Ovis aries: one gene and its partners. The protein of the gene in region 1 purifies or fractionates together with the protein of each later gene. This does not show direct contact. Links are inferred from orthologs where the notes say so. Each region holds a gene or a part of one and is shown on either strand. Other genes may lie near its edges.

Region 1 (3,737 bases):
GTTCCCTGCGGGGGCTGCTGCTGCCCCCGTGACCATCCGCTACCGCCTGTGGCCGCCGGAGCCGCGCCTCGTGCCCCTGGGTCCCCACGACGCTCTGCTCAGCGGGGTCCTAGAGCTGCAGCCCCACGGGGCGGCCTTCCAGCAGGCACGGCCGGGGCAGGGTGGGGTGGGCGAGGGCCCCGGAGAGCAGGGCCCAACGTGCCCCGGCGCTCACGCCCCCCTCGCCTGGTAGGAGGTGGGCCTGTGGCTGCTCTTCGTGCCCCCGCGGGCCAGGCGTTGCCGCGAGGTGGTGGTCAGGACGCTGAGTGGCAACAGCTGGAGCGACCTAGAGACCTGCCTGGAGGAGGAGGCGCCCACGGTGAGGGTGGCCTGGGCCATCGGGGAGGGCCAGCCCTGACCTGTCCCCCGCCCCAGCCCGCCGGCCCTGACCTGTGCCCCGCACCCATGCCCGCAGCCCTGCCCCAGCCCGCCGCCCCTGACCCATGCCCTGCGCCCACGCCCTCTGGCCCTGACCCGCAGCCCTGCTCCGACCCGCCACCCCGGCCCCGGCCCGCTGACCCTCACCCATGCCCTGCGCCCATGCCCACGCTCCCTGCCGGCCCTGACCTTGTGTTCTGCGCCCACGCCAGCGGCTCTGGGCCCACTGCCAGGTGCCCCACTTCTCCTGGTTCCTCGTGGTTTCGCGCCCTGTGTCCGACGCCCGCCTGGTGCCGCCGGAGGGGACGCTGCTGTGCTCCTCGGGACACGCCGGGGTCAGGGTCACCTTCCCCCCGGGGGCCACCGAGGAGCCGCGGCGCGTCCGCATGCAGGTGGGGGCCGGGACGCCCGCTGGGGTGGCGGAGGCGCCCGGGCGCAGAAGTGACCGCAGGGGCGGCCTGTGTGCTCCAGGTGGTGCACGTGGGCAGCAGAGCGCTGCAGGCCCTGCTCGGGGAGCCCGAGGCGGCCTCCAGCCCCCTGCTCTGCCTCTCGCAGAGCAGCCCCTCGAGCTTCCTCCGGCCAGTCACTGTCCAGCTTCCTCTGCCGCCCGGCGTCACAGGTGAGGGCAGCGGCGCGGCACGGGCGGGGGCGGCGATCAGGAGGGGCGCCCCAGCCAGAGGCCTCCGCCGTTGCACCCCCCAGGCCTGAGTCTGGACCGTGCCCGCCTGCACCTGCTGCATCGGGCTGCCCCCGCGGCCGCCTGGGACGACGTCACGGCGCAGGTGGCCCTGGAGCTCACGCACCTGTACGCACGCTTCCGGGTCACGCGCTTCTCCTGGTCAGTGCCCCCACCTCCTCGGCCCCCTCCCCACAGCCGCCCCCCAGCCTGCAGGGTCCCCCTCACCCCCGCGTTTCCAGGTACTGGCTCTGGTACACCACCAAGGCCTGCGTGGGGAGCCTGGCGCAGAAGGCCTGGGAGCGGCTGCGGCTGCACCGCGTGAACCTCATCGCGCTGCAGAGACGCCGGGACCCCAAGCAGGTCCTGCTGCAGTGCCTGCCCCGCAGCAAGGTGGGGGCGGCGGAGGGCCGGGGGACGGGGCAGGGGCGCAGGGCGTCAGCCTCCCAGCCAGCGGGTCCCTCGCCCCGCAGGTGGACGCCACCCTGCGGCGGCTGCTGGAGCGATACCGCGGCCCTGAGCCCTCGGACACCGTGGAGATGTTTGAGGGCGAGAAGTTCTTCGCCGCCTTCGAGAGGGGAATCGACATCGACGCAGGTGTGGCCGGGCGCCCGGGGGCGGGGCGCTGGGCCTGCGCCCCGCCCCCGCTGAGCCCCCTGTGCCCGCAGACCGCCCCGACTGCGTGGAGGGCAGGCTCTGCTTTGTCTTCTACTCCCACCTGAAGAATTTGAAGGAGGTGTACGTGACCACCGCCCTGGACCGACGGGCTCGGGCCGTGAGGGGCCAGGTGGGCCATGCAGTGGGCGCCCCGGGCTGCCCGGGCCAAAGCCAGAGCGCCGAAGCCCACCTTCTCCTCTTCCCCAGGTGTCCTTCTACCGGGGCGAGGTGCCGGAGGGAGTGCCTGAGGAGGCAGAGGCTGCCCGGCAGAAGAGGGGCCCAGCTGCCCTGTGGATGGCCACTCTGCCCATCAAGCTGCCCGTGAGGCCTGGCTGGGGAGCCCCGTGTGGAGGGGACGGGGGAGGAGCCGCCGGGGTGGGCTGGGGTGAGGCCGGGGCTCACTGCCACCTCGACCTGCCCGCAGAGATTGCGGGGATGCGAGGGCCCGACCCGGGAGCCTGGCCTCTCCCTGGCACCTCTGAACCTGGGCGACGCCGAGACTGGCTTCCTGACCCAGAGCAACCTGCTGAATGTGGCCGGGCGCCTGGGCCCTGACTGGCCAGCTGTGGCCCTGCACCTGGGCCTGCCTTACCGTGAGCTCCAGCGCATCCGGCATGAGTTCCGGTCAGTTCTGAGCCTCTCTCGTCCTGCTGGCTTCCCCCCAGAGGCTGGCTGAGGTTCCGTCCAGGGGAGGGAGGGCAGGGCAGACGGGCAGGAAAGGAAGGGTTTGGCTGCCCCTGGCCCAGGGAGCAAGGCCCCATGCCAGGAGGGAGAGCAAGGCCCTCGGCTCGGCGGGTGGTCTTGGCGGGCCCCCCGACTGCTCCCCTGTCCCCCCAGGGATGACCTGGATGGGCAGGTCCGCCACATGCTCTTCTCCTGGGCGGAGCGCCAGGCTGGGCAGCCGGGGGCCGCGGGGCGCCTCGTGCAGGCTCTGGAGCAGAGTGACCGGCGGGACGTGGCCGAAGAGGTGCGGGCTGTCCTGGAGCTTGGCCGCCGCAAGTACCAAGAGGGCATCCGTCACACGAGCCTGGCCCCCAGGAACCTCGCCTCGCCTGACCGGTCGCCGTCACCTTCCCCAGAGCCTGCCCAGGCTTAGACCCCGGACTTCGGGCTGGACCCTGAGGCTCCCGCTTTCAAACCTGCCCTGCGTGTGAGCAGAGTGACCCCCACCGGTGTAACACACATACACTGCCTGGTCGCTGTCTCAGCACTGACTTTCTCGGGTGGAGAGGCCGGTGGAACGCCAGGGGCGGCCAGGTGATCTGAGGCCCGGCCCTGCTCTGCTGCAAGCGGGCCTGGGTACAGACTTCCTTCCGCACAGCTCTCCTTCCCGCTGGTCTGCGCCCACGGCCTGCACTGGGTCCTGATCTCAGGGAGGGAGTGGAGTCCCAGCTGCAAAGTAACAGCTGCTGCCCCGTGAATACAGTCGTGTGCAGGATGGCGCATCTGCCTTTTGGTTGGGGGCCCGCTTTGGCCAATTCAGTTCCCACGGCTCCTCCCTTAGGGACACTTCGTCCCAGCGCACCCCCATCCGCTGGCCCGACGGAAGTAGTCCCTGGCCGATGCACCGGCGCGAGGTCGAACGGCCAGTGAAAACCCGTGGAGACCTGGAGCGCCGGCTGGCGCCGGGCTGGGGCCTGCCGAGGGCAGTGGCCCGGGCGGCCAGGAGGGGGAGCCGGAGTCCGCGAGCCAACCGCCGGCCGGGGGCGGAGCGCGCGCGGCGCCGAGCGGACGCGCCCCCGCGCTTAGGTGCAGCCGCGCGCGCGGCGAGGCGGGGAGGCCAGCGCGGCGGCAGAGGCGGCGGCAGCGGCGGCAGAGCGCGCGGTGAGTGCCCCCCTGGCGGCTCCTTCCGCTGCGCCCACCCGAGTGCAGCCCGGCCGCGGAGTCGAGGGGCACCACGGCGGCTGTGGGAAGTGACATCTGCCCGGACGAGGCGGTTTCTGCGGGGCCCGCGCCGGCGGATGCTCGGATCCGCTGCCGCCCGAGT
Region 2 (3,643 bases), on another chromosome or scaffold:
TCAAATTCATAGCAAAATAAACTCATTTTCTCCCTGCTCATCTCAGAGACAATCTAGACATTTTGAGTTGTAGAGGGAGACGTAATTTACAGTTTGTATCACATTGGTATAATTATGCTATTAGATGTATTATAACTTTCCATTGTATAGAGCAAATGCTTAGGAGTGTTACTCATATATGGCAGTCTAGTGCAAGATCAAAAAGATTCTTAAGCTGGACTACAGTGTTTCTTTGGAAAAACAATATTGCTACCCTTCATTAGAAGGCACAGTATGAAGGCAGGTCTTTGCAGTATGTGCCAGGCATAGTGATAAGCCCTTTCTATGCAATATCTCGGGGCTTCCTTGGTGGCTCAATGGTAAAGAACTCACCTGCCAATGCAGGAGACTTGGGTTCGATCCCTAGGTTGGGAAGATTCCCTGGAGAAGGAAATGGCAACCCATTCTAGTGTTCTTGCCTGAGAAATCCCATGGACCGAGGAGTGTGGCGGGTTACAGTCCTTGGGATCACAAAAGAGTCGGACATGACTTAGCCACTAAACAACAGCAGCAATGGATGCAGTGTTTCATTTAATCTTTACAAACTCAGAGAAAATTTACTCTTAATTGTCTTCTTACAAAGTGGATATTAGAACCTGTTCTAATTTATGAACCCAGGGGTTAAACCTAGGTCTCTCTGATCCACCGGCTCATGTGGGTAGTCATGACCCTGTCCAGAGTCCTCTGTAGAGTGTGTTCTTCTGTGAGCAAAAGTATTTTTGTACAGACGTCATCATTGTCCCTGGGAACTTCATTTCTGAGACAGAAAACAGCATAGAAGTACTGCTGTCCTCTATTGTCATGATCCTGTGAGCCCGTGGTCACAGAGCAGTTCTTAACGGCTGTTACTTTCTTGTAAGCGTGTTACTTACTCATTCACAGTTTACCTGGTGGTCCCCTTTGTGCCATTAACGTACAAGGGCACATGCGCTGAAGAAAGAGCTGGTTGATGCCTGGAGAGTGGGTCAAGTTAACTAGCATCTGCATGATTAGCTTCATTAGTAACTTGGCTTCACTCCAGGAGTTCTTCACATGAGCTTGTAATGAGCCTGTGAGTCATTATATTCAGTGTTTCGTCTAAGTGAGTGTTAGTTGCTCAGTCTTTGTGACCCCATGGACTGCAGCCCACGAGGCTCCTGTGTCCATGAGATTTTCCAGGCGTGAATACTGGAGTGGGTTGCCATCTCCTTCTCCAGCGGATCTTCTCGACCCAGGGATTGAACCTGGGTCTCCTGCTAAAGTCATGTAGTTTTCTCGTGCTTACTTAGCTTCTGACTTGGTAGAAGACACGTTTGATTTTCTAATAGCCTAGGGCTTCAGACACCAAAAGGAAGCTTGTATAGGTGCTGACTCTGGGGAGCAACCCTGAAAGGCATCTTTCTCCTAGGAAATGCAAGAGAAACTGCAGAGTTTTGCCCAGCTCCCGGCTCACCGAGTCACTGACTCCTGCATAGTGGCGCTCCTCTCCCACGGCGTGGAGGGCAGCGTCTACGGCGTGGACGGCAAACTGCTCCAGGTGCGTGCCGGTCTGTGGCCACGGCTGGTGAACCTGGGCCACGCCACCTCCTGCTGCCCGTCTCTCCAGGGATGGCCACTATTTGTGTGTACAGGACTCGGGGGTCCCACTGACCACCAACCCCCTCTTCTCCCTTATTTCTCTCCGGCAGCTACAAGAGGTTTTTCGGCTCTTTGACAATGCCAACTGCCCAAGCCTACAGAACAAACCGAAAATGTTCTTCATCCAGGCCTGCCGTGGAGGTGAGTGCCCCGGCGGACCGGCACCTGGGTGTGGCCCCCGGGCAGCCTCCCACCCGCTCTCACTTTCCTATTTGCTCCTCTCAGGTGCTAGCGGACCCCCTGGGCACCTCCTTCTGTTCACTGCTGCCACCGCCTCTCTTGCTCTGTAAGTGTCTCCCGACGCATGGGGTGTGCTGGGACTCGGGCCGCCCCTGGCTCTCAGGTGGTCAGCTCTCTGCGCACCGCCACGTCCGCCCCCAGGACGCTCTCGGCCAGTGCCTTCGCCTTCTTTGAGGACGCTTCCTTTTTCCCTGTGCTTATTAACCCCGGTGCGCTTTTCTCATCGCTCTTTCTGGTTCAGGGTCTGCCAGCTGCTCTGCTTCCTCACCCTCTCACTTGATCCTCTTCCTCTTTTTCTTTCTCTGCCTCTCCTCTCCCTTTCTGCTTTCTCCTCCTCCTCCTCTTCTCCCTCACGCCCCGTTCTCGCCTCCTCTCCTCTCCGGGCCCCTCCTGTGTCGTGCGGGAGAGCAGTGTGGAGGCCCCATGTCAGCCTTTGGCTCCTGCTCTTCTGCGAGCTCCTCCCATCCCTCTTGCATGCACTCTCTTCATCCCTTAAAAAGCCAGGACTCCCTGATTGCGCTCAGAAGACATCGGGTGTGCTTCTCATCACAGAGGGAAAGAGTAATGATTGAAAGCTCTGAACGTGGAGTCAGATTCTGCCTCTGCTACTGACTAGTCATGTGAAGTTATAGAGGAGTTCCTCCATGTCCCTCCACCTTAGTTTCCTCAGTATAAAATGTAGGTAATCACACGTCCTAAGGTCATGTTGTTGTGATGGTTAAGTGAAGTGGTTCCATGAAAGTGGTTCATATTAGCTTAGTGCCTGGCTCATGGTAAATTCACAAAATACCAGCTCTAACTGTTATAACATGGTCTGTGCCCTTAAGAGACTTACAGTTTGATTTAAAGGTCCCTTTTTCCAAAGATTCAAATAGTGTATTTTTTGCATGGGTATAGCAGTATTCTTGCCTGGAGAATCCCATGGACAGAGGAGCCTGGTGGGTAAAGACCACAGGATCACAAAGAATCGGACACAACTGAAGTGACTTAGCACACACGCCTAGCAGAGCACAGCAGTGGAATACCAGGTAGAGCCTTTCAGGGAGAGGAGGAGTGCAGTGTGACAAGCACATCAAGATGAAAAGGATACCCCTTCCCCTGCCCCAAAGCGGGCTGAGCCAGAAGTATGCCTGGTTCTCCATCTGCATCAGTCACGTGTAGTGAGATGTGGCTGACCACATGAGACAGATCCTAGTGATCATAAACCTGCAGCCACAGCTGAGATTTTGGGCTTTCACAGATAATAGTACAGAACTATTGGGAGCACAAGTAAGAAACAATTGGATGATTTTTTTTTTCAGGATGATTACAGGGAGCAGTGCTGAGAAAAAGAGTATGTGTGAGCAGGAACGTCCTCTTTTTGTGTCCCTGCTATATCCCCGGGCCCAGGGCACTGCGTGACACATAGTAGCACGTCATAAATATTGGCTGAGTAGATGGAAATTCAGTTCAGTTCAGTTGCTCAGTCGTGTCTGACTCTTTGCGACCCCATGGACTGCAGCACACCAAACCTCCCTGTCCATCACCAACTCCTGGAGCTTGCTCAAACTCAAGTCCATCAAGTCGGTGATGGCATCAAACCATCTCCTCCTCTGTCGTCCCCTTCTCCTTCTGCCCTCAATCTCTCCCAGCATCAGGGTCTTTTCAGATGAGTCAGCTCTTCGCATCAGGTGGCCAAAGTATTGGAGTTTCAGCTTCAACATCAGTCCTTCCAGTGAACATCCAGGACTGATCTCCTTTAGGATGG
Region 3 (3,743 bases), on another chromosome or scaffold:
TGTGAACTTTAGGCAAAAAGTGTTCACAGTTCTGCTACTCCTTGTTACTCAAATGGAACCTCAATAGGTTTGCAATCCACACTTTCCCTCGGATGTGAAATTGTACAAAGGAAAGGGCCTCCCTGGCATTGAGATACGAAGTCACTGACACACAAAAATCTCACACTTGGATCACCACTGCTTTCTGAGAGATTCTGATCAAAAGGGGGAAATGTAAAAAACAAACACACAAAAAACAAATCTCAAAGAGTCAGGAGATAGAAAGGCTGGAGAATCTTTTCTAGCAGAAATCTTTTTTTTTCCCCGGCAATGATTCAGCCCATGAAAAGCAGTGGACTTTTAAAACATCTCTCCAACTTCCTTTTCCCCCATAAAGGTGTCCTCTCCATTTGCATGCAAGTTCCCAGGGTGGCAGACCTCAAATTGCAATTCTTTTCATAATAAACTTGTTTATGCTAGAGAAATAGTTGGCAGTCCATTTATTTTAGGCAGACAATATGTGGTGGCATCTCATTGGTTTTTCACAGTTTCCTAATATCCTATAATATTGAGCATCTTTTCATATACTTACTTGTCATTTGTATCGTGAGAAGTCTGTTGAGATCTTTTGCCTTTTCTCAATTGCATTTTTCCTTCTCTGGCATTTCTAGTATACTTTGGGTAACAGTATTTTATCAGCTATGCTTTCTGCAAATATTTTCTCAGTTTGTGGCATCTCATTACCTCCAGATATCTTTTTATAGTATGTAATCATGCTATATATATAATCAACTTTTCATCATAACACTATAGCAACCATTTCCCATTTTGCTTCAGACTTCCCAACCATCCTCGTATGATGCTGGTTCCTCCGCAGCCCCACAGAAGAGATTATCCCCACTTCACAGGTGAAGGAGATAAATGCCTGGGAGCTTGCTGCCTAGGGTTCCCGCGCTGCTGACCTGCAGAGCTCAGAATCCCCCGGGGAAGCAGCCCATCGTCTCCGGCCCTGCCCGCCGCGCCCGGCAGGTTTCTGTGAGTGGTTTCCGTGACTCGGCATTTCCTCTGTCCTCTCGGCCTCCCAAACCGCTCTGAGAGCACGATCCTCAGTCTGAGCGCGTCCCGGGGTTTCAGAACGGGCCCGGAGACCTTTCCAGACGCGGGGCGGGCGCTCTCCCCACCCTCCTCAGGGGCAGGAGCGGAGGCGGAGCGAGCAGTCCACGCCCTCCGCCGGCCGGGCTCCCTCAGTCGAAGCGCCGGCGGCGCGGACACCGCATCGGTGTCCCGGAGCGCTGACCCCGGAGCGCGGGGCCCCAGCGGGCCCACTCCGCGAGGAGCCCGAGCGCGCCGACCACTGGACAGCACGCGACGGACGGCTGGCCCGCGGAGCCGGGCGCGGTGAGGGCAGGGCAAGGCGGGGCGGTCCCCGCCCGCCTCCCAGCCGACGGCTCCGCCCCGGAGACCCCTAATCGGGCCCGGCGTGCCACCCCGGCCTGCGCCGGCCAGGTACTGCCGGGCGTCGGAGCAACTCTAGGCTGCCCCGCCGCCTCCTTCCTCACCCGGCCTGGGGCCTCAGGAAGTCTCCCGCGAAAGCGAAAGCGAATCTCTCGGTGCGTCAGCGCGGGACCGCCGGGCCCAGACCAGTCTCTGGGGCAGGCTTCCGGCAGGGGGCGGGGCTTCTGCTTCCGGTGGGTGGGGCGGGCGACGCGGCTGCCGGAGTTCGGGCGGTGGGCGTGGCCCGCGGCGTTCCTGAGGTCTGGCGGTGGGCCAGTGGGGTGGTGGGCGTGGCCCGCGAGTTCTCAGAAGGCAGACGGTGGGCCTTTAGGGTGGTGGACGTGGCCCGCGAGTTCCCGGAAGTCAGACGGTGAGCCGGTAGGATGGTGGGCGTGGCCCGCGAGTTCCCGGAAGTCAGATGGTGAGCCAGTAGGAGGGTGGGCGTGGCCCGCGAGCTCCCGGAAGTCGAGCGCCCAACTGCCAGCCGTCGGCGGTCCCTGCGGCGTCTCGTCTCGCCGGGAGTTTGGGTCTGGCGGGACCGGGCAGAGATTTGGCTCCCGCGCGATAACTGCCTGAGGTGGAGACGGCCCGCCACGTGGTTTGCGCTGTGGTGTCAGGGGAGGTGGCCGGTCTTCCCTGCGGTGTCGTTACGAGCTTTCGCCGCCCCGGGTCACGGGGGCGCCGGGGCCGCCGCTGCTCGCGACGCCGTCAGACGCCTTCCCGCGCCGTCTTCGAGGAGAGCTGGGAAAGAAGGGTCGACGGGCACGGCGGGGAGGGCGTCGTCCCCCGGTGGCGCGTGCTTTTACTAAGTGACTGAGCGCGCACACGCTCTCGTAGCCTCTTTAGAGTTTTGAAGAGGGTGAGCGCCACCCTTCTTTGCTCACGCTGGACAGCCTCCCACAGAGGCGGGGTTACTGTTCATTACTTTGTCTCTCGCTGTTCCTTCGGCTCTTCCTTGCTCGGAGCTCTTGCGTGTCCTGGACAAAGCCCGAGGCCCGTTACACTCAAGCGACTTTGCAATAGAACCGCTATTACTTCTCCCTCCATTCACACATGAAGAAATCAAGGCAGGAGTGACTTCTTCCTTGATCTACGTTTTGTAACCATCAGGTACGTAGGTGCAAGAGTGGGGAGGAGATTGTAGTCAATTATAAGTATGGGGAACTGCCCCCTTCTAAACACAAAAGGGAAAGAGGAAGCTTGTTTAAAGCAGTTGAGGTATCTCATCATCGTAATTATTATTACTGGTAAAACAACTATCATGATTAACTGTAATTTGCATGCTTCACTGAGCTGAATTGAGCACCACAGATACATTGCACTTTCAGGATTGTGAATATTCACGAGAATAAAGAAAAATATCCCTAAATAACAGTTTCCAAAATTGAAAATTTCTCTTGGATGCTTATTAATCAACAACATGGTAATACCACCAGTATGAGCTGGGAATTTGAAAAAGCACAGCTTCCCATGCTATGGTTGGACGTTATACTTCGGCAAAAATGATCGTGTTAACCTGTAGAATATTGATTTTGAACCGCATGTTTTCATATGTTTTTAAAATTTAGTCTGTACTTTCCCTATGTTTCTGAATGTAGCATACTTATTTAGTATAGGTGAGCAAAATTGTAAGATTAGGTCTTTGAATCTGATTTTAAGGAAGACAAATTATTGTTTACTCTCTGGAGAAGTAGCATGTGTTACTGAACTGATAGTGGAAATTTGAGTGAAGACATTAAGACTCAATTCTGGGATCTGTTACTCTAGGTGAATCATTAAACTCCAAATTATAGTTTCTCAGTTTGTAACTTGGAACCGATGTATTAATAAGTTGGTACTTCACAGGGTCATCATGTGCAAGATACACTGGGTTGAACTCTTGTAGTTTTCTCTCTTGCTCAGAGCTCTTGTTTATCTGAGGCAAAGCATCAAGCAGTTAAAATCAAAGAACCTTGAGAAATTCCCATTGGATGCCTGAGTAAAAACAGAGTTCCATGTGCAGAGGAAAAGGGGGTCATGATAGTCGGGTAGCCAGCATTTTCTGTCAGACTCCTCATGTATGGTCCTCACTGAAACACTGAAAAAAATCGCCCTCAACCACTTAAAGGTAAATATGAAATTTTTTTAACTTAAAAAAATTATTTATTGTGATACACAGAAAAGAACACACATCATAACTGTTTGACTCTCTTAATTGTCCTGAAGTGAACATTAAGAAGAGACAAGTATCGCCCTCACGCCCGACACTTCCTTCCTTCCCTGCTGGCTGC

What was found.
Region 2: the proteins of PIDD1 (region 1) and CASP2 purify together in Homo sapiens (affinity purification with western blotting; 5 studies listed by BioGRID and IntAct, with this or other methods). This does not show direct contact. The link is inferred for Ovis aries from reciprocal best matches to the Homo sapiens genes PIDD1 and CASP2.
Region 3: the proteins of PIDD1 (region 1) and RIPK1 purify together in Homo sapiens (affinity purification with western blotting; 3 studies listed by BioGRID and IntAct, with this or other methods). This does not show direct contact. The link is inferred for Ovis aries from reciprocal best matches to the Homo sapiens genes PIDD1 and RIPK1.

What each region holds. Positions count from the first base shown.
Region 1 is NC_056074.1:46,946,844-46,950,580, forward strand, and holds the end of PIDD1 (p53-induced death domain-containing protein 1), read left to right. Parts: coding exon 1-145; intron 146-232; coding exon 233-358; intron 359-629; coding exon 630-809; intron 810-888; coding exon 889-1,036; intron 1,037-1,119; coding exon 1,120-1,255; intron 1,256-1,335; coding exon 1,336-1,486; intron 1,487-1,566; coding exon 1,567-1,690; intron 1,691-1,761; coding exon 1,762-1,880; intron 1,881-1,957; coding exon 1,958-2,071; intron 2,072-2,174; coding exon 2,175-2,374; intron 2,375-2,587; coding exon 2,588-2,846; 3' UTR 2,847-3,188; downstream 3,189-3,737. UniProt on the Homo sapiens protein: Component of the DNA damage/stress response pathway that functions downstream of p53/TP53 and can either promote cell survival or apoptosis.
Region 2 is NC_056057.1:107,909,711-107,913,353, forward strand, and holds part of CASP2 (caspase-2), read left to right. Parts: intron 1-1,426; coding exon 1,427-1,555; intron 1,556-1,706; coding exon 1,707-1,797; intron 1,798-1,881; coding exon of another isoform or gene 1,882-1,946; intron 1,947-3,643. UniProt on the Homo sapiens protein: Is a regulator of the cascade of caspases responsible for apoptosis execution. Might function by either activating some proteins required for cell death or inactivating proteins necessary for cell survival.
Region 3 is NC_056073.1:49,697,970-49,701,712, reverse strand, and holds the start of RIPK1 (receptor-interacting serine/threonine-protein kinase 1), read left to right. Parts: upstream 1-1,225; 5' UTR 1,226-1,485; exon of another isoform or gene 1,486-1,656; intron 1,657-1,933; exon of another isoform or gene 1,934-2,583; intron 2,584-3,318; exon of another isoform or gene 3,319-3,580; intron 3,581-3,743. UniProt on the Homo sapiens protein: Serine-threonine kinase which is a key regulator of TNF-mediated apoptosis, necroptosis and inflammatory pathways.